Tamandua tetradactyla: one gene and its partners. The protein of the gene in region 1 binds, or shares a complex with, the protein of each later gene. Links are inferred from orthologs where the notes say so. Each region holds a gene or a part of one and is shown on either strand. Other genes may lie near its edges.

Region 1 (7,064 bases):
CTTCCTCTGGGAACCTTCTCTGATTTCTCCAACTAGATCAAACCCATATTTTAGGCACTCATAGCACCAAGTACTTCTCCTTCACAATATACTTTGTGAGTTGCAATCTTATACATAACATATATTCATATATTTGTGTTACAGATATGTACACATACATATATATACACACACAAGTTATATATTTACATAAAATATATACCAAAATCCACATACTTCTCAAAGAATGATTTTGCTTCATTCTCATGTTGATTGTAGACTAGTTCCAAATACATGTGTACAAACAGAGGATAAAAGAGTTGGGATAACTCTGCCCGATGGCAGTCCAAGGAACATTCAATAAAGTGTTTCAGTCCACTATAGTATTCTTCATACATTGCAGGGTCTCCTTGTTGGTTGTAAGCTGACAGCACAGCACTGACATCCGGCTGGTCTTCCACAGCTACACTTGCAACTGTTCAAAAATCAAAAACCAACTTTCAAGAAAATGACCAGATGAACACATGTGACTATGGCTGTTTTTCTAAGCCCCAGAGTTATCCGGTTCTTAGATATGTTTGTCTCTCTCTTCTCAACCTTTCTTTACCAACACAATTATAGTCTTTTAATGGGATATTTCACTTCATTTCATTCACCCAGGACAAAACCTCATGCTTAGCTTGTCCATATCTTAAAGTAATATGTTGAAATCAATAACAAAAAATTTTTTAATGTTTTCTTGGAGCTACTTCATTGTAAATTTGAATTTTGTAGAAGATGATATGTGTATATCGAAGAACGATATTAATCTTCTCTAAAGACTCAGTGCAAATGGCACCTATCCTCCCCACCACCACCACCACTTCAGAAGCCATGCCCTGAAGTAACATTTCCAGCTCTCTGAGTACTCTGAACTTTCCTATAACATATTCTATTTCATGTTACCCTCACATGTGTACAACTATTGACTCTTCTAAAATGTTAAGCATTTTAAGAGAGGAAACTTATTTATATCTCAAACAATAATTAACTCTATTTTATATGCTTAAAGCAAATTTCCATAATCACCATTTCGGGGCAGAAAACATGATTTAAAGCACACTATTTATAACAGCAATACCAAAAATGATACATCTGTCAACTGAATCATAGCTTTTGGTTGTTGGAAATGTTTAAGTTTTTAAGTAGACTCTTTACTGCATGAATGTTATTTTTTTGTTACTCTAATGGCCTCTGAGTTTCCAACTATGATCTAAAAATACATCAGATTTCCAGATGAGTGATTACAGTAAGAAAACCAACAACATACTATCTTATAATTTATTCACAAAATTCTTAATTCACTATTCAGAAAAGATTTCTCTTCACATTTTCACCCATATCTATTTATGAGTCACACTGTTATGTATTCATACTTCACTTCTGGCAATATTGCAAAGATTAGGTCTCATAAATTATCGATTAATAAGGCTAGAAGCTCGTAACAGGATAATTTAATTCAATAAACACTTCTTGTCAGCTCATAATTACCTCTGAGACTTTATATTATGTACGAGTTTTCTACTGCATGGTCTTTGTGACAACAGTTGTTGGGAGAAGGGGGGGTATCAGACGTGAGGGATGGCTAGTAAGGTATAAGCCTATCAATGCCATCCTTTCACATATATCTGATGCTCATAATAACTCATTTAAAAGAGAGAAAAGTTATTCTTAGGAAGAATAACTTAATCAGCACCATACAAGTAAAAGCAGCAGAGACATGATCTGAAGCCAGGTCTGTTCCATCCCTATTTCTAAACTAATGGTTCGCAAACCTTGCCATATATCAATATCCCTTGGAAGCACTTACTTAAAATGCAGATTCCCAGACTCCACCTCTAGAAGTGTGATTCACTATGTCTAAGTGGTGATCAGGAATCTGCATCTGCAAACATTTCAACACTGGGGGTACTTAGCCTTACTCTTAAAAAACAATGCCTACACTATATTCCACCACTCCTTGGCTGTGTGGTTCAAAACTAGTCTTTTGATCTTTCTCAATCTGTTTTCTCATCTCTAAAACAGAAGTAGTATCTACCTCCCGGTAGAACTGTGAGAAGTAAGTTAAAGTCCTTCGTCCGCTAATACGGTACTGTACAAAGACTTAGTGTTCATGTAGACCTACCCAAGGCTTAGGAGCCCAAATGAGAGGACAGAGACCAAAAGCCTGAAGGACCCCGCCACTTCGAGTCCACCTTCCCCATACATCCCTCAGCTCAACAGCTCTCTTCAGCCTCTAGCTGGAAATGACAGTTCGGAAGAGGGTTTGACTGCGCAGCCGGCGCACCAGAGAAAGGGGCGGGCATGTGGCCCTAGAGGCGGGCTCAGGAAATTCAAAACAAGCCCGCATAGCTGCAGGCCTGCCAGCCCCTGCGTTCCCGGCTAGCTCCCCTTCGTGCTGGCCCTGCTTCCCCCGGACTCCGCAACTCACCTTTTCCCGGAGCCGCAGAACCTGAGGCTGAGCCTGAAACTGCGGCGGCCCCCGAAGCTCCGGTGCCGGGGGGGTCCGGAGCCGTCGGACCGGGAGCCGAGGCAGTGACCCGGCTGAGAAGTGCACTTGCCACCTCGGCCCCGGCGCCGTCCACCTCTCCTGGGGCTCCGGAGCCCATCACTGCCTCCTCTAAGAGCCGGGCCTCGCGGCGCAGCGCTTCTTCGGCCTCGCGGAGGTTGCTCTGCCGTAGGAACTGCAGCACTGCCAGCAGAGTCTGTCGGTCATGGGGAGCGCCGGCCTCCGGAGCAGCGGCGGGCACCGGGGCCGCCCCCGCCGGTGTAGCGGCGGAGACAGCCACTGCGGGCTTGGGGGTCCCGCCATCCCCGCCGGCCGACGACGCGGCCGCAACGTTCCCGCCGCCGCCGTTGGGGCCGTTGTTGGTGGTGCCGCCGCCCCCCTCGCCAGCGCCGTTCCCAGCCTGCGGAGGTAGCAGCGTTGGCGGTCCCTCAGGCTCTAGCTTGACCGCCACCTCCGTCTGCTCCTCCGCCAGCGCCGCCATCTTGCGGCTGAGCCACCCCGCGCCGTCAAGCGTGATTGCGTTTTCGCCACATGGAGGAGGGGGAGGAGCATTTCACGACAGCTCTGGATGACAATTTACGGCAGTAGGAGGAGCGAGAAAGAGGGAGAAAAGGAGTGGGAAAAAGCAATTTTCCAAAGCGAAGGAAAGGCAGGAAGCGTGCTTTGGTGGCCGCCTATTAATTTGTCTGATAATAGTTACTGTTTATTTTAGGCCAGCTATATCCAAGCATTTTATGGACTTTCTCTATTATATGAACTCCTTTAATTCACCAGGCATATGAGGTATTATTAGACCCACTTTATAAATGGTTCAACAGAGACCCAAAGAGGTTAAATGACTTGCCAGGGTCATAGAAGAAGTAGTGAAAGTTGCAGTGTTCGAATCCAGGTCTTTAACTCAAAAGCATATGCCAAAATGTTCAAAATGGAGGCATGGAAACTCTGTATTTTTCTGAATGGTCTTTCTGTAAACCTACAACTTCCCAAATGGAACTTATATTTTCAAAAAAAGCATATGCCATTTGCCAAAGGGAAGCTTCCGAGATACGGGTGACATTTTTATTTTAATGTGGGTGGCGGCTACTTTTGTGTGTGTGTGCAGTTTTTACTTTTGCAAAAGTTTTACCCCATTGTGAATAACAGATTAACGTTCTGATGTATACATTAGTGTCACGGCTCAGGCCCTAAATAGCTGTATAGCTGAAGCCCAGAAACTGAGGAGTCCTGAAAAAGCACTGCAACCCTCTGCACACACCCCACCCCCATGAGGTCAGCCTCTTACTTGACTCATCTCTGAGCTTTGAAAAGGTCTGTGTTGGAAGTTCAGCCCAGGTTGCTTACTCCAAGTGTAGTGTTTTTTCTGTTACACCACAATTGAGATAATTTTATTGAATGTCTGCAAGACTCACTTCCTACTACCATTCTCCTCCTACTCTGTTCGTAGGATACTTGGATAAGTCTGGTATCAATCAGCATCTTGCTCCTTTGTAGGAGAGCTGCTTTTTTGATCTTTCTCTTTCGCTTTGGTGTTCTTTAGCTTTATTCTCATGTGTCTAGGATTGGATTTTTCATCTCTATCTTGACTGACTCTTTTCACATCCTTTCAATCTGAGGTCTTTTTTTTTTTTCAATTCTGGAAAATTAGTAAGCATTTTATCATAAATATCTCCTCTTCTCTATTTACTTTTCCCCTTCTAGTATTCTTATTAGGTAGATAATGTTACATCTGTTTCTATCCTATAGGTCTTTTAACTTCCATATTTTCATCTTTATCTCTTCTGGACAATTGATAGGAGAGTTCCTCTGCCTGATTTTTCATTGCAATAATTCATTCTCAGTTTGCATCCATTTTGCTACATAACCCATTTGTTGAATTATTTCAACCATTATGTTTTTCTGGTATTTTGAATTGTTTCTTTTTTATGGTTTATTGTTCCTGCTTCATGATACCAATGAATGCATTTCACAATGTCTGGAGATATTCTGATTGTCACAACTACTGGCATCTAGTGGGTAGATGCTAAGGATGCTACTAAACATACCACAATGTACAAGACAGTCCCTGTACCAATTTGAAACTATTGTGTATGCCAAGAAAAGCCATGTTCTTTAATCCTCATTCAGTATTGCTGGGTGGAATTTTTTTTATTATTTCCTTGGAGATGTGATCCACCCAATTGTGGTGGCACCTTTTGATTAGGTGGTTTCCATGGAGATGCATCTCTACTGATTGAAGGTAGGTTTGCTTCCTAGAACCCTTTAAGAGGGAAACATTTTGGAAAAAGCTTTAGTGCTGACAGAGCCCACACAGCCAGAGACCTTTGAAGATGCAGAAGGAAAACACCCTCAGGGAATCCTTATGAAATGAGAAGCCAGGACTGAAAGCTAGCAGATGTCGTGCCATGTGCCTTCCCAGCTGACAGAGGTGCCCAGAAGCCAGAGACCCCAGCATACGCCAGTCAGTGGCCTTCCCAGCTGACAGAGGTGTTCCAGACCCATCGATCTTTCTTGAACCAAAGTATCTTTCTCTGCATGCCATGGTTTGAACATGTTTATTGCCTTAGAATTCTACACATCCAACTTGGTAAATTCCCTTTTTAAAAGCCATTCCATTTCTGGTATATTGCATTCCGGCAGCTTTAACAAACTAGTACAGCCCCCCACGACAAAGAGTTATTTGACCAGAAATGTCAGTGCTGAGGTTGTGAAACTCTGGTACAATCAACATGAACCCTTTTCTCTTTGAGGATATGTGTTAAACTTAAATTCTTTTTCTACCTGAGGCTGGGGCATTTATTCTGATTCACCAAGTCTAGGTTGTTCAATTTCTTGCTCTAATGGGGTTGTACTCCTACATCTCCTTATTTTTCTCCATGAATTCATTTTTCCTTGGAAGTACCAGTTACCTTGACTGCTATGTATAAGCAGAAGGAAAGACTGACGGCCAGCATTGGGAAAAGGTGGCGGGTGTACCACAAGATGAAAAGTTTCCAGTCTTACTGTCTGGGCTCGATCACTACTTGTTTGCCAGCAGAAGCATAAGTGCAAGAGCACATGCAGGCACGTGCACACACACACACACACACACACACACACACACACACAAATATTTCAGGTGTCTTTGACCCCAGAAAACTTTCCTATAGTCAATTGCTATAGTACAATTCCTATACTCAATCTCTACCCTAGACTTGGCTCTTTCCTAAAAGCTATCTAGTCTCACCTATTCTTCAAAGTATGGGGTCGGGGAGGGTATAGAGCCAATGGATCTGACTGCCCTGTTGTCATCCTCACACAAACACCCTTGACTCCTTCGGTCCCCACTGCCATTTTTCTTTTTTTTTTTTTTTTTATTTTTTAAATACCAAAAACACCAAACAAACGCAAACATTCCTATTTTGATCATTCCGTTCTATATATATAATCAGTAATTCACAATATCATCACATAGTTGCATATTCATCATCATGATCATTTCTTGGAACATTTACTGCCATCTTTCTTGATTGGTGCTGCTCTAATGTAACCCCACAGTCTCTGGCATCTCTAGGATGGTGTGGTGGTTTTACTTATTTTCAGTGGAGATGGATGGTGAGGATGAGGTAGTGGACGGGTGGTGATCCAGGGTGAGATGGGGACGAGAAAAGCACACAAATTAAAAACTTTTCCCCAGATCAATTCCTGTGTGTAGCTCCCTGATATCTTCCTCTTGGAACTGCTATTTCACACATACACACACATTCAGACATACACACAGGGAGCCTCAGGTTTCCTACAGTTTTTATAGATCTATCGATTTCTATACCATCTCTATGGTTGAGGGGGAGGGAGATAGCCCCCAGTGTGAGTTAACCATCTGTTTAGTTTGACCGAGTTGTTTTTTAAATATTTTTATTGACAAATCTTCACACACATACATTCTATTCATGGTGTACAATCAGTGGTTCACAATATCATCACATAGTTGTGTATTCATCACCATGATCATTTTTTAGAACATTTGCATCACTCCAGAAAAAGAAATAAAAAAAAAAAACTCATTCATCCTATGCTCCTTACCCCTCCCTGTCATTGACTACTAGTATTTCCATCTACCCAATTAATTTTACACTTTGTCCCCCATTATTATTATTATTATTATTATATTATTTTATTTTATTATTATTATTATTTTTGGCATGGGCAGGCACCGGGAATCAAACCCGGGTCTCCAGCATAGCAGATGAGAATTCTGCCACTGAGCCATCATCGCACCGCCCCCCCCCATTATTTTTTTAATCTATATATTTTTTACTCATCTGTCCGTATCCTAGATTAAAGGAGCAACTGACACAAGGTTTTCACTATCCCACAGTCACATTGTAAAAGTTATATCTTTATATAAATGTCTTCAAGAATCAAGGCTACCGGAACACAGTTTTACAGTTTCGGGTACTCCCCTTCAGCCACTCCAATATACCATAAACTACAAAGGTATATCTATATAATGCATGGGAATAACCTTCAGGATAACCTCTTAACTCTGTTTGAAATCTCT
Region 2 (8,138 bases), on another chromosome or scaffold:
TATGGGGAAGGAGGGGCACTGACCAGAATTTTTCCCAAGCAGCACAGCAAAACGAGTGATCCCAGATTTTAGAAGCATTGCTCTTGATCCCAGAGTCTCAGATGTTTTCTTACACATTGCTCCTTTAGCTTCTTGCTCCTGCTCCAGAGCGCCAAACAAAAATAAACCCAAGATTAAGGTGTAGTTTATCAGGTGTTTAAGAACGAGTTCTGGAGTTAAGTCTTGAAGCCAACCATTGCTGTTTAAGAGCTCTGGGATCTTAAAGAATTTGCTTAAATTTTCTAAGCCTCATTTACCTTTTCTGTAACCAAAGTTCAAAAAGGGTCCTGAGCTTTTGAGGATTAAACAAAATAAGATATTGAACTAATTGTATCATTAAAAAAACAAAAATAAAAAGCTTTATCATAGCTAATGAAACTCATAGCCTTCTCATTAAACTTTTAGTACCTGGCACTTTTGGTGAATTTCATGAATTAGGAAAAAAAAAAAGGAATTTCGCCTCCTAAATACATGTTCAGTGAAGAAAATTTGGAAATACAGAAAAGCAAGAAGTAGAAAATAAAAATTACTCATAATTCCACCACCCAGAGAGAAGAGCTGCTGTTTACATTTCATTCCGAAATTTTTCTCATGCAAAAAATTTTTTGTATGCAGTATGGCAGGGTCACATTTCATTATTTTTCCATGTGAGTATCCCAGTATTGCAGCACCATTTTTTGGTTGCTTTTGTTTTTTTGGAAGTGCATGGACCAGAAATAGAACCTGGGTCTCCTGCATGGTGCCATTGAACTATCTTTGCATCCCCTTCTCATACAAATTTATCCCCACTTTACAAACAAGTAGTTTGAAGCTTAGTTGAAGTGTTTTGTCCCAGGTCCCAATATTATAATGAAAGCCATTTGCATCTCTGCCACTTCACTTGGAAGCCTCCAGTGGGCTAGTACTGCTTTTCGTTTGCGGCATAAAGAAAACAAAGTTCCGTTTGTCAGTGTTTAATTACTACTTTCTCTTTGGCCTTGATGAAGGAGGTAGGGGAAGAAAAAAAAATCTGTAGAAGAGTAGAATGGAAGCAGAAAGTTAACACATTTTCCTCATTATTAGAATTGTGGCTTGATTAAGTCTGGTGTTATCAAGTAAGTGTATTCAAGCTGTGGACATTGAAGAACTTTTAATCTACCTTCACTGACTTCAAAGGGCACCATTTTAGAAAAGGAGATGAAGTTGCCTGAAGTTACTGGAATGTTCTACCCCAAAGTTTTTGAACACTCTTGGGACCAGGTGAGGTGTCTGCCCAGAGTGGGGTTTCTACCATTCTTAGGGTATCTAGCACCAAAAAAAGAGATCATCCTTCTTAGGGTCCAGTTAAGTTAAGGACTAAAAGAATCTCTTAATCCCAAGTCTGAACATTTCAAGATGAAACTCATAATTGAGAGGAAGTGAAAGCAAGTCCCTAGCTCCAAAAGCATCAAAGAAAACTGAAAATGTTGGTCACTGCTCCAGGTTGTTAAGCAAACAGACCTATCGTGTATTTAGTATTTAATATTTTAATATTTGATAGTGACATTACGTGTGCAGGGCCCTGTTGGCAAGATCCAAAAATAACTTGTTTTTTAAAAAGAGGCTTATGGACATTCAGCAATAACTGTTCCATATACTTCTCACCTGGCAAATACCCAATGCAGTCATTATTTTGTTTTTACTGGAAAAAAGAATTTCACTTTTCTGTACAGAGCAGTGCATTCTTTTAGACGATCCCAGAAACAGCCGGGAGAGAACTGAAATCTATCACTGAGCGTGAAACAAACCACGACTGAGCCTCCTTTCCCTGAAAAAGAGACGAAGGAACTTTAGCTCCTTTTCCTAGTTTTATCAATTCTTCTATTTTGTGGATTTTTTAAAATATTCCAGAAACTAGTGCTAGTTACTAACAAATCAATTTAAGTCATTTGGGGAATAGTCTAATTGGTGAAGTTAAAAAAAATTTTTTATTCAACATAACATACAAACACAAACATTCTTACCATATGATCATTCCATTTTTGATAATCAACTCACAATATCATCACATAGTTGTATATTCATCATGATCATTTCTTAGAACCTTTGCATCGAATTGGTGAACTTTTAATTGAGACAACTGACCCAAGACTACACATTCAAAGGCAATTTAATAGTTGGCTTCACGTGCGGGAATTTTTCCATAGCCTAGCACTCCTCCATGTGAAAGAGGGACAGTACTCCTTAGTATGAAGTCCTTCAAATGGCAGAATTGCTCAGGTATAAAGGTCTTCTGTTACCTTTTTAGGAGACGTCAGGCCCATTAAGTCATCCCTGGATGATTTCTCTGGACTTATTTTGGTGAACCCCATCTGCAACTGAGTGCAAACCCAATTTTGCATTCAACACTGATTTGGAAGCTGAAAAATCAGTATACATACAAAATATCATTCCATTCTGAATGTCATCAGCCTTTGGCAGAATGGCAGCAAATGGAGAGTGAGAGTTAGTGAAGGATAAAGTTGGTTGAGATGGAAAAAAGTTCTACCGGCTCTCCTTATTCACCATTGTCAAGAGGGGAGAAAGGCCTTGGCTTCCCTGATCTTCTGCTTCACACCTCTGCAGGACAGAGCCAGGCCAGCGTGATGGTGCTTCAGGGACTCTAAGCGCTGGTTGAGCAGGTCAGTCTTGTCCACCTTTTCTTCCAAGTCCCGGAGAAGTGTTTCTTTGCCAAGAAGCCCGCACTTCTGATTCAGCTTGACATTGTCAATCCGCAGTCTGTCTCGGGCTTGCTTCGTCTTGGTCAGGATGTCCCGCTTTAGGGCCACCTTGGCCTCGATTTCTGCGAGCTGGGCCTTTTTGTACGTGTTCTCGATCTCCATAAAGTGTAACTTTTCCTTCACGTGGGTTATTACCTGCACATTGTTGGTGACCTTGCTGCGCAGTTTTAGGAGTTCCTCATTCCGCTCCTCAACTTTCTCATTGAACGTTTGGTTCTCGATCTTAAGCTGCTCGAAATCGATTAGGAGCAGACCCTCCGTCAGGTCTTCCTGGGCCCGCATCCTGGTTTCAAAGTGCACCAGGCTTTGCTTCAGCTGCACGTTCTCCAGCCTCACAGCACTCATCTCCTTCTCCTTCTTATCCTCCAAGGCCTGGATTTGCTCCACCTCCCGCAGAGCCACCTGACGGCCACCCTGCATCCGACAGCTGCCCATGGCCTGCATCACCACCTGCTTCTTGAGGGCTTGGAAGGCTCGCCACTCCTTCTCCACCCTGGCAAGCTTTTGCTGGCAGTGCTGCTTCAGCTGGTCCAGCTCCTGGTGGTACCAGTCCAGGTCGTCTGCCTCTTGCTTCCTCAGCTCCTCCAGCATGGCCAGATAGCGCAGGTACTGCTGCTCTTTCTCCGGGGCCTCTGGCTCCAGGCCCTTGTCAGGCACTTCAGCCGCATCCAGGCCCTTCTTCTTGCGCAGTGCTTCGTAAATCTTATGCTGCAGGTACAGGTTGTAGCGCTGGTAGCGGCCGCGCTCAGTCAGGAGGGTGCGGTACTGCTCCAGGAGCTCGGTGCGCAGCTGCTGCTCCTGCTCCTTCTGCACCTCCTCAGACCAGCTCCGCTCCTTGTCCTCATCTTCGTCCTCATCCTCGATGGTTAGGTCCAGACTTTTGCCTTCGCCCTCAAATTTCACCTGGCTTTTTTCCCCACCCCTTCCTTCAGCGTCCTCACTCTGTTCCTCCACCTTTCCATCCTCCTCCTCCTCGTCCTCCTCCTCCTCGTCCTCCTCCTCCTCCTTCGCTTCCTCCTCCTGTTTTTCTTTCTCAGCCTCCCGGACTGGCGCGACCTCTCCCCAGATGACCCTGGACAGAAGCGGGTCTTCTTTTTTCCTCGCCCCGTGCTCCTCTTCCTCCTCTCCTTCCTCTTCCTCCGCCCCCTCCTCCCTCTTCCCCACCTCGTCCTTCAACTCCTCCGGCCCAACTTCAGATCCCGTCTTGGGGAGCTCCTCAGAGGGCTGCACCTCAGTCCCGGTTTCGGCCGGTTCCCCTGGCTCGGCCTCGGACTCCGCCGGCTCCTCGGGCCCCACAGCAGCCGCAGCCTCGGGAGCCACCGGCCCCTCCCCGGGCTCGTCCTGTTCAGCCGCGGCGCCCATCTCCGACGCCTCTACGGCCGCAACCTCGGGCTGCGGCTCCGCGGGCTCCGCTGGGGTCTGGAGGCTAGTGCTGGAGTGGAAGCCCGGCAGCCGCGAGGCCAGGCTTTCCACATCTCCGTCTTCTCCCACGGCGTCCCTGTTGATCACAGAGCGGTCCTGCATCTCCCAACCGCTCAGTGAGAGCCGCGGATCCCGGCTGCAGACTATTAGGTTTCCAGGGGCAACCGCGCGCGTGGACGCTGGACCCGACGATTGGCCGGGAGTGAGCCCGACGCCCCGCCCCCGCTCCCCGCCTCCCTCTTAGAGAAGGCCAATGGGAGGCCGCAAACGAACAAGGATCGGAACTGATTGGAAGAGGGTGTGGGCTCGCGCCCCGGGGGGCGTGGCTCGCCGCGCAGGCCTCCCTGCCGCCCGTTTCTCACCTCCCACCCTGGGGCGGGGCGTCGGGGAAACGCCGGCGTGGGCGGCTGTGGCCTGCGCGAGAGTCTAGTGGGCCGCGCAGGCGCGGAGGCGCGAGGCGGGCCTCCGCGCGGGGCGCCTGCGCGATGCGGCGGAGCGACGGCGGCGGCGGCGGCGGCGGCGCCCAGGCCGGGCCGGATGGCGCCTGCGTGCTGAGGCAGGTCGGGGCCCGGCTGGCTGGCTCCGGCGGCGCCTGGGCGGGGACGGCCGCGGTGGCGGCGGCCGGTGGCGGCGGCGGCGGCGGTTGTTCGTGCGTGGTGGCGGCGGGCGCTGGGGGCGGCGGCGGGGCGCTGACGCCGGGCTCCGCCTCAGCGGCGTCGGGCCGGGCAGCGGCGGCGACGGCGGCGGCGGGCGGCGAGCGGGGGAAGATGGCGGAGCTCGGTAAGAAGTACTGCGTGTACTGCCTGGCCGAGGTGAGCCCGCTGCGCTTCCGCTGCACCGAGTGCCAGGACATCGAGCTGTGCCCCGAGTGCTTCTCGGCCGGCGCCGAGATCGGCCACCACCGCCGCTACCACGGCTACCAGCTGGTGGACGGCGGGCGCTTCACGCTCTGGGGGCCCGAGGCCGAGGGCGGCTGGACCAGCCGCGAGGAGCAGCTGCTGCTGGATGCCATCGAGCAGTTCGGCTTCGGAAACTGGGTGAGCGGCGGGCGGGACGGGAAACTGAGGCTCCCTGGCTCTGGGGCGCCCCTGACTCCCAGGCTGAGCGCGGGCACTGGCAGGTGATGGAGAGCTAGTGTCCTCTCCTGTAGGATGGGCTCTGCGCGTCTGGACACTGCTGGCTGCTCCCCTTCTCGCCCAATAGACTACCTCCCAGCCCTTGCCTTGCTCGTGTAGTGCTCTCCCCAGGCGGCCCATGGCCCTAGGCTCAGTGAACACCCCACTTTACAGGTGGGGAAACTGATGCTGAGAGAAGCTGAGCAACGTGGCCAAGGTCACACAGCCAGGAAGAGGCAAACTGGAGATTTGAACTCTAGCTTTCTGACAGCAGAGCTCATTTTCGTGATCTTTCGGGATACCTTCCCCATATCTATACTGAGTGCAAACAAGGGGCCAGACCTGGGGAGTTCCTGGAGACAGGCAGTCCTGACAGCATGATAGGAGCACTGAAGAAGGAGGGGGTTCTGCCTGGAGAACAGTGGTGGAGAAGGCCAGGCAAATTTCACACATGCCCTGAGGCTTGTCTCACTGTCTCTCGTGCACTTAATCTGTGTTCGTGGCTCTGTGTGCTTTCTGTGGTTGTCTGTGTGTGCCTTGTTCCCTGCCAATGCACAAGTTCTTTGGGGGCTGGAGCAATGCTGAGAGTGGTCGGTAAATAATGAATAGAGGATGATGGAACAGGCAGGAGTCCTGAGTTTTTGCCCTGTTTATCAGAAGATTTTTGTCAAAACTGTTGGTGAAAGGGAAAGGTGGGAGCTGGACTAGATTCATTTATACTTACAAGATAGTGCTGTGGGTTCCTTGAAAGAGAGAAATGTGGTTCTTCTTTCAGTTATCCTTAAGGAGCTCTTTCCACTCCAGAAGAGGAAGCTTTCATTCGTATTAGAAAGGAAAAATCTAGCTGTATTCTCATCTGTAACCACCAAGGATCTGTGGCCATCTTCAGTTCTTTACAAGAAGTAGGTGCCATGAGACATAACCCTAGCTCCCTAATCTTTCTGGTCCCCTCCCCTGGTCTGTTGTGGCCCCCCGCTTCTCCGGCTGCACTTCCCCTCCTCCCTGGTTTACTGAGAGAAGACATTCCACACTGGCCCTGTTCTAAAACCTATACTTGTTTTATTTCCTTTTTTGTAAAGTGAATCATTCTCTGGGACCATTCCCCAATCCCCAAAACCTGGCACCTCTCTTCTTCTCCCGACTCCTTCGAGCAGACACTGTTCCACAGATTCTTACCCACTGGCCAGCTTTGTGATCACCGCTCTCCTAAAACCTCAGTCTCGCTATATTGTTAAATGTTGCTTATTGATGTCTACTGAAGGTCTTCCTTGTGCTGGTTCTGCAGTGGTGCAGGACTCTGAAAGAAAGGGAAGATTATAATCCCTGCCTCTAAGTAGCCTAAATTATTTTAATCATTTGGTCTGAGCTCTTCTCTAAGACCCAGCCTTCTGTGATGTCCTCATCTGCTTATCTCAGACATGGCAAATGGACCTGACCCATATCTCACCTCCTCATTCAGGCTAAAAACCCAGGAGCCATCCTCAGATCCTTTTCTGTCCACTTCCTCACCAATCCAGTCTTCAGAGCCTGTGCCAAATCTAACGACTGCTGACCTTAATCCAGGCTCTTGCCAGCTGTTGCCATTACCACCTCTGGAGCCACCTAACTGGTCCCCTGCTTTATTCAGGTCCCCTGCAGCCCATTCCACGGGCTGTCATTGGAGTGATCTTCTAAAAACATAAGTCTTACCATCTCGCTCTTCAGCACCTTCCAGGATGCCTAGGATTCAGCCTCAGGCCTACCAGGCCGACCTTGCCTCCTGGCCAGTGGGAGCTCGGCTGTTCCCTTCCCCTGGATTGTTACTATTCCTTCTGCCTGGAGGGATTTTCCTGTTAGTCCTGGCTTGTGACGGATCTTTCTACTTCAGTAGCCAGAGCGACTCTGTCTTCCTCATGCCATTCTTCATGCATTTATCTCTATAATAGTGGGTAAAGACAGCTACAACGACCGAGCACATGCTGAGTGTGTCTCTCCTTAATGCCCCCCAGCAGCCCTGGGCAGTAAGTTTTGAACTGATGTGGTGTGACGTAGAGTCTACAGTCCTTACTGCCCTTTTATAGAGATAAATGCATGGAGAATGGCATGAGAAAGACAGAGTCTCTCTGGCTACTGAAGTAGAAAGATCCGTCACAAGCCAGGACTAAGAGGAAGATCCCTCCAGGCAGAAGGAATAGAAACAGTCCAGGGGAAGCAACAGCTGAGCTCCCACTGGCCCGGAGACAAGGTAGGCTGGTAGGCCTGAGGCTGAATCCTAGGCATGCTGGAAGGTGCTGAAGGAAGATGTGGTAAGACTTATGTTTTTAGAAAATCACTCCAATGACAGTCTACACTGCCCTCCTCCCTCCCGTAGTACTGTGGAAGATACACAAAAACAAGTTGTGGAAACTAAAACATCTTAGCTAGTGGAAGAGGCTTAGGGCTGGGAGGGGGCAGGTCTCTTTTGTAATACAGTGCTTTTCTAACATCAGTGTGCGCTGAGCAGCCCAGGGAGCTTGTTAACTTGCAGACTGTGAGCAGGTTCAGAGTGAGGCCTGAGTGTCTGCATTTCCAGCAAGTTGCTGCTGCTCTCTACTGCTGCTTCTGCAGACCGCACTCTGAGGTTGCCAGGCTGGAATACTTCTCTGGCTGTGTTGCCTTGGACTAGTTGCTTTTCCCCTCTAGGCTTCATATTTCTTCATCTAAGGCTGTTCTCCAGCTCTGAGACGTGTGGTTCTCTATGAACATATATTCATGTGTGTGCACGTAGGTAAGGATATTCCCCATTTATCACAGATTTAGCATGTGCCTATAACTGGGCCAGGCTCTTTATCTACATATTTCATGT
Region 3 (7,032 bases), on another chromosome or scaffold:
TTCTTTGTGGTTTGGTACACTGATCAATTTTTTAAAGTGTTTCAGAAGCATCAAAAAAAATTGCGTCCTCTGTTGGGTGCAAAATTTTATAGCTAATGTGCTCTCTATTGGACCAAGTTAATTTTATTCAAATCCTGTTTTAAAGGCTTCTTCTCAAATTACTTTTGTCACTTTTTTCTTTATATCTAAAAGTTATTATTTCGTATGTTTTGATGCAACTTAGTGTTCCGAAAGAAGGCTGTTTCCATCTATTCTAATATGGACTCCGTGATCTCTTAAGTTTCTTCCAGCTCTAAGACTTAAGATTCTATCTCTAGATATGGAACCCAATGGTCATGATCACTTAGATTCTGGTCCCTTGACTGATGCTTGGCTAGGAAACACTGCTAAACTCTGAGGGTGACCCAACTGATGGGTTTAGTGTTTTTATGTTCAAGAGACTCCTGGACATTGGTACCCAGGTCATGCCTCAAGAAGGTAAGAACATGATTAAACAAATAACTCCCTTCAAGTTTCCCTTTAACGGATCCAATCGCATCTGCCACCTATAGAAACAGAAGTTATGTTCACGGAACCTCTGAGAGGAATCGTATTGCAGTGAAAGGCATACTAATCAATAGTGGAGAACCCTTGGTTCTAGTATTGGCTCTTGCACTAAGTCTCATCAGATCTCAATTTCCTCACCAGGAAAACCAAGAAGCTATTTAAAATTTCCTTAGAAGTAGCTTAATCTCAAAGGGTAGTGATTTAAAATATTAACCTAGTTCTTTAGGCCTTTGAAACCGAACCAGTACTAACTTTTTCCCTCCACAATTGCAAATCTAGACGAGTCGTTGTGTATTCAAGTTCTCGTAGCTTGAGAGGAACCAACCAGGAAGCTTGCGAACAGTCAGCAACCCAATCTCGGGCTACTGCTCCAGCCCCATCAACACATGTCTCCTTACCTCGCCATCCTCCGTTCCGGCTTCTTTCAAGTCCCCATCTCCGTCCCCGTCAGTTTCCTCCCGGATTATATCTGTGTCGGTGGCGCCGGAGCACAAGGGAACCGCAGGCGTCTCATCCGACTCCCTTGTCTCTCCACTTTTGTCTGTGGGCGACTCGCAGGCATTTTCCATTACTATGAAACTAGATCGCGGCGCTGTCAGACCACGGCTGGGAACCCGCGCAGCACTGCAGCCCACAAGCTTACTTCCCGTTGTCGCGCCAAGATGACATCACCTCTACAGCTCCTCGAAGGGGACATTTTCAGGGGCGCGTAGACGTCTCTGAGCTTTCGTTTTTACGCTTCCATTTGGGGGTGATGGTTAGGAAAGGAAAAATTAGGGGTGCGGATTGTCTACCTTGGGAGAGCCAGCATTTGTGAAGGACTTCTTTTTCCTTTCTTCCTTTCTAAAAATGCAATGTCAGGCAACGCCTTTCCTAATCCGCCTCCCTTGGAGGAAAGAAGTTGGGGTACAGGGAAGAAAACTCAGTTCCGTTGTATGCCCGCGTCGTTGTATGCGGCTGCCTTCGTCTGATGAACTTTCAGGCAGCAACTCAACTTCGTACGTTTCAATTAAAGAGACCTATGTTTACACCGAGTTGCCAGCATTTCCCTTCTTTTCCGCATGTACCTGAAAAACAAACATAAATTCACTGACTTAACTTGAGCAGAACTTATCCAGTCCATTTATTTAGTTTACAATTGGTTCGTCTACTTAGAACCAGTAACGGTGGTAGGTACAAGTGAACTAAATTGGCATGGTTCCTACCCACTGATTTTTTCCAACTCATCAGAATTCAAGATCGGGGTTGCTTTCACAAACGTTAACTTTTTATGTCAGTTTCGTTACTCTCATCAAAAGAGGAAACAAATGCTACCGATGTGTGCATATATCTCCTTTAACCTTTTGCCCTAATGAGCCATTTCAAGGATTGAGAAGATGAGGTGAGCTATGTTTATTTTTAAATGTTCCTCCCTTCTCTCCTTCGCGCACATTCAGTTATGGGAGGTAGGCATATTTTATTCATCTCTGTATCACTAGGTCTGTATCACTAAGTACTTATGTGCGGTGTAAGAATGAACTTGGAAATGTAGATGCGCGTTACCATACTTCTCTCTTTGTTTCTATGCTGCCTGGATGAATTACCGTATTTCTTTCCAGTGTGCTCCCAAAACTTTTGAGGAAGCAGAGCGCTCCGGAAGGCGCGTACAGGTGGGCCGTTCGTTCCCTTCCACCTGGGGAGGTGGCAGCCACACCGCGATGTCCCCTGGCCCTTCCAAGCCCAGTCTCCGCACAGCGAGGTCCGCTAAATGCCAATCCCAGACACCTGCACCAGTTTTCTGAGCTCCGCCCAGCTAGGTGGGCAAGAGGGCGGGAAGAGGGGCGCGGTGACGCGTGACGCCGAGTCCCGGAAGTGACGCGCGCGTGGGGAAAACGCGGGGTGGGGGCGGGTTTGAGGGGAGTGGTGTCCCCGACCGGTCTGGGGGGTGCGTTGCCCGGAGACAGAAAGTTTGGGAGCCAAAGCGGGTTCGGCAGCGGCCCCGGGGCAGGGGTCCAGAGGGGCGGCGGCTTGGGGATGGGGAAGGAACAAGAGCTGCTGGAGGCGGCGCGCACCGGCCACCTCCCGGCCGTGGAGAAGCTGCTGTCCGGAAAGCGGCTTTCCTCAGGCTTCGGGGGCAGCGGCGGCTCGGGGGGCGGTGGCGGCGGTGGCGGCGGCGGCAGCGGCAGCGGCAGCGGCGGCGGCCTGGGCTCCTCGAGCCACCCCCTCTCTAGTCTGCTCAGGTGGGTACGCGTCCAGGCCCGGCCACCGCCTCGAGATCCCCTCTACCCAGCCTGTCTCCTGGGATCCACAGAGATCCGGGCTCCTGAGACCCGAGCGGTTGGGTTTGTGGGGTGTGCCGGAGCGCGGGCAGGCGGCCTCAAGGGCAGGGAGCAGGAGGGGGCTCGGGTCCCGGTCCGCGCGGTGCGGGGCTCTCCTCATCTCCTGTCCTGACTCGGCTGCGAAGAATGGTGGGAGTGCCCAAGGTGGCAGCCTCCGCCGCATGGCACAGTTCGGCTTCACCCTCGCCCGCTATAGGTTGCCAACTGTCGTGTCTCACAAACCACTTTAAAGAAAAAAAAAAACCTATATATAATCTCCCTCACCTCCTGCAGAAATTCCCACGCCTTGTGAAATCTCGCGACTTCTCGGAGGAAATTCTATTCCTTTCTCTAAGGAACTTGGAGCCTTCCACCAGGCTCTGCGAGACCTGGCTTTCATTGTTTGTGGTAAAATTGTCTCAGTATTTGTCACGTTTAGAGTGTTCTTGTGACTGAAGCTCAAATTCTAGTTCCTTGTACTTAATCTGTTTGGATTAGTCTAAGTGGCATGTGCAGGATTCTTCAGGAGATTTATTCATCACGAAATAATTAGAAAGAGTTGTTCAGGGGTGCTTTTAACTATCCAAGATCTGTTGCTAAAATAAACACTTGGATTTGGAGCTGTAAGGATTGAGGGGGAAATGGTCATTTTTGTGTGTGGAGATGCTTTTTTACTGTGAGTAAAAATTTGTTGGTTCAGCACCGCTTTCATAGCCTGCTTTCTTTTCCTTCCTTGTTCTTTTGAGGTTTTTAAGAAGTGGAAGTTTATTTAGAAATGGCTTTGTTAGCATTTGTTCCCCATTAGTTTATGTAACTTCGATTTGAGTAACCTTGGGCCAAAAAAGCCCAAGGCTTTAATACCTGGTTACATTTAAGGATTGAGTATCCTCTATGCAGGATGATTTATTTAAAACGAAACAAAACAAAACAAGCAGTATAAGAGAAGAACTTTCCCTAGGAGCTTCATTTGGGGAAGCAAAAACGGTACTGTTCATGGCTACCTCTCCAACCTCTAGAACAATGCTGACAAACTGTAGGTACTCAATATTTGTTGAGTAAATAAAATCATCAATTGTAGGACAATACATTTCTAAATGGATTGATGGTGGTACTCTCTGTAATAGTAGTTCAGACAAAAGAACTATTAACTATTTGGGATGAGATGAGGGTCAGGGAAGGCTTCAGGAAGGAGGGGAACTTCAGCTGGCCTTAAAGCAGGTGAAGATTTGGATAGGTGAAGTATGGCAAGAGCATTCCAGATGGACACACCATGATCAGAAGCACAGAAGTGGGAAGTAGACTGATTTGGTGCTAGTGTGGCACTAGGAGGAGGAGGTAGGTGGGATAAATCTTTTATTTGTCTTTCAGTGCCTAGGTCAGTACCTGACAGTGCAGAGGTACTCAATAAACGGTACTTTGAATGCATGAATTGGGTTTTGGATTTTACCTCCTTTACTTTATTACTTTGTAGTTCTCATGCCTGGGAGATGAGGGAAAGACTATACAAGGTTGGGGTTGCATCTACCTCTAATGAATGGAATGATGTAGCATTTGGATGCTTGCCAGCAATACCTTGAATCCCAGCATCTCCTAGTGAAGCCAGAACCTTTCGTATATCTCCCACCTTCAACTGCAGGCCAAGTCACTCTTAGTGCTCTCACTCAGGGGCTGTTGAAATTCTTCTGAGCATATAGGTGCCTTGTAGTTCAGCAAGACTAGGAAATGTCTGTTGAGCAAATGTTTATACTTTGAGCCTCATGATAATGTGTCCAGTCTCTGTGATACAGGGTGGGTGGTATCTCCATTTCACTGAATAAGAGAACTGATTCCTCAAGACTTGCTCCCATGTCTGTTGTTAAGATGGTAAAAGGCCTAAAAGTTGCTGGAGCCTCTCATCCCTGCCGCTCTTAGGGGCAGGGAGGATCTGAAGGTACTAGGTGTGTCATTAATTGTGACTATCTCAGAGGTAGCTGTGATTAAAACTGAAAGATTTCTAAGCAAATGAAAGCGTACATTTAAATAATCCCTAGATTGGCATGTCCTCCCTCTTTAGATTTGGAAATAGAAGAGGTAAGTCCCCTCTACCCTATCCCTCTACCTCAAGGACCCTGAGTTATTAAATCACAGCTGTTGGATCATTGCTTCAGATTTGACCTTTGTTTTAGCCACCATCTACCACCCCAGCAGTACTGCCATCTGTAACCCCACATTTGTCCAGCCGTTTGAGTGACCAAGTAAAGCTGGCAGGCAGGAAATAGGGGCTTCTTATTGCAAATGGTATAAATATTTAAAATCACATCTGTTTTTATGTATGCTAATCACCTCCATTCTACAGAGGCCTTGTGCTACTTTATCTTAAGCTACTAAATGCCTTCGTCTTTCACCCATCCTTTTCTCTTATACTACCTGGTCTTAGATCTTAACTTCCTAAAACCCTTCCTCATGTCTCTAATACATACAAGATCTGCCAAGCTCCTGCTTCTTTAGATCATATCATTTATAGTAGTGCACAGTAGCTCATCAACTCATATGAGTTTAGATTTCCATAAAAGCAACTTCTGTATGAGAATTCAGTAAGATTTGGGTTAAAAGTGAATTCTATCAAAGTTCAGAAAGGTCTAAGAAAAGGGAAATGCTAAAGGAAAACATCAGATCATAGCTTAAAACGATAAATTAAATTCTGAGCTGAATACTGATGTATGTGAGTGGAAAGGTAAAGTGAAACGTACTCCTCAGGCTCAGCAGCATGAAGAAAGTAAACCAAAGGCTGTAGTTGAGGGGGAGATTGTGTCATGCTTTTAGGAAAATTCTATGCTTGATTTCTCAACCATAAGGAAAACGAATAAGAGGAAGCTGAGGAGGCTTGCTGGAGAACTCTGAAGTAGCTATAAGCTACTTTTTACTCTGCCATATGAGCAAAAAATAAGACTGTCCAAAACCAGACACACGTTTCCCCCAAAATATGAAAAGGATCTGAAATAAGTTAAAGAATGAAAATTTTTTAAAAATGAGCTTCACTTTGGGCACAATAACAGGTTCTCCCAAATGTCAGAAGATATGACAATTGTTTTTAAGAAAGTTTAATGAAGAAATTCAGATTTTTTTTGAGAGTGGTTAGTTTAACCTTCTATTGTCAAATGATTTTTTTCATCCCCAGAATGGATTAGTAGCTTGGGGATTATAATGTCAGGGTAGCTTTTTCTCATGCTGACCATTTTACTTTTCTGTGCCAGCTTTCTTTTGCATGTATCTATTTTGTGGGAAATGATTTTAATATTTTAAGGAAGAGTGATAAACTGATCCTAAAAGGATTGTAGAATGGAAGGGCCTAGACACAGTATCTTATAGAATTGTCAGATCTAAGGTTTTCTCTTAAGAGAATGCAAAAAAAAAAAACAGAACGATCCACTTAGGTTAACAGTTTTCTCAATTGTCCTCTAACCTCATTTAATTAAATATAGTTTGTTAAGAACTTCTTAAAATACTCCTAAGTACAATTTTGTTGGGGAGACAGCTGTGTTCATTTTTGCTTTTTTCTAAAGTAGAATTTGGTTCCTCTGTTAAAACGAAACAGAAGTAGCATGCATGGAAATGACTTCTATGTGCTTACTTTTTATCTAAAAATCTGGAATATGCTTAATTTAAACTGACTAGGGCATCTATTTGTAAAAACCTGTATTTATAATAAGTCAGTGGTCTCCCTTTTTCTGAATTTTCTAATTAAAGTTCAGTTTTCACTGTATCTTCTTAGTTACAAAAATTGAAGATAAAAGACAAAGGAACAGTGTTGTGGTCTGAGAAATTTGATTTGTATCCAGTCACTTTCAGCTATATTCACTTGTCACAGGAGAGTATGGTCCTAGTGAAAGATGCATCCTTTGCCAGAAAAATCCCTTCAGAAGGCTTCTTTTCCCCTTTGGTTTGTTCACCCCAAAACAGCTGTGAATTTTGGTTTTGAAAGAGGAAGTCAAGTCTAATTCTGCCCTAGTCTTTTGTAAGGAAAGTAAATTGCTGGGATTTATAGCCCAGACACACCAAGGAAACCCCAAAAGTAGACAGTGAGGAGTTTGTTCTTGGAGACTTCAGGCTCTCCTTTGGTTAGGAGCTTGTCTCTTTACTGGAGAGCCCTCAGAAAATGTTCCCCACTCTGATTTCCAGAAGATTACTGAGATACTTTCTGTGGTATAGA

The links. The genes of interacting proteins can lie anywhere in the genome.
Region 2: TAF5 (region 1) and TADA2B share a complex: the UniProt entries of both Homo sapiens proteins name them as parts of the TFTC-HAT complex. The link is inferred for Tamandua tetradactyla from reciprocal best matches to the Homo sapiens genes TAF5 and TADA2B.
Region 3: TAF5 (region 1) and TAF11 share a complex: the UniProt entries of both Homo sapiens proteins name them as parts of the TFIID basal transcription factor complex. The link is inferred for Tamandua tetradactyla from reciprocal best matches to the Homo sapiens genes TAF5 and TAF11.

Annotation. Positions count from the first base shown.
Region 1 is NC_135339.1:65,359,816-65,366,879, reverse strand, and holds the start of TAF5 (transcription initiation factor TFIID subunit 5), read right to left. Parts: upstream 3,029-7,064; 5' UTR 3,009-3,028; coding exon 2,450-3,008; intron 455-2,449; coding exon 217-454; intron 1-216. UniProt on the Homo sapiens protein: The TFIID basal transcription factor complex plays a major role in the initiation of RNA polymerase II (Pol II)-dependent transcription.
Region 2 is NC_135345.1:5,797,651-5,805,788, reverse strand, and holds the start of TADA2B (transcriptional adapter 2-beta), read left to right. Parts: upstream 1-4,930; 5' UTR 4,931-4,966; coding exon 4,967-5,236; intron 5,237-8,138. Other genes in the region: CFAP184 (cilia- and flagella-associated protein 184), read right to left, coding at 2,568-4,301. UniProt on the Homo sapiens protein: Coactivates PAX5-dependent transcription together with either SMARCA4 or GCN5L2.
Region 3 is NC_135331.1:91,175,382-91,182,413, forward strand, and holds the start of TAF11 (transcription initiation factor TFIID subunit 11), read right to left. Parts: upstream 3,209-7,032; 5' UTR 3,129-3,208; intron 2,766-3,128; coding exon of another isoform or gene 2,560-2,765; exon of another isoform or gene 2,397-2,559; intron 2,376-2,396; exon of another isoform or gene 2,130-2,375; intron 1,614-2,129; 5' UTR 1,116-1,613; coding exon 945-1,115; intron 1-944. Other genes in the region: ANKS1A (ankyrin repeat and SAM domain-containing protein 1A), read left to right, coding at 2,560-2,765. UniProt on the Homo sapiens protein: The TFIID basal transcription factor complex plays a major role in the initiation of RNA polymerase II (Pol II)-dependent transcription.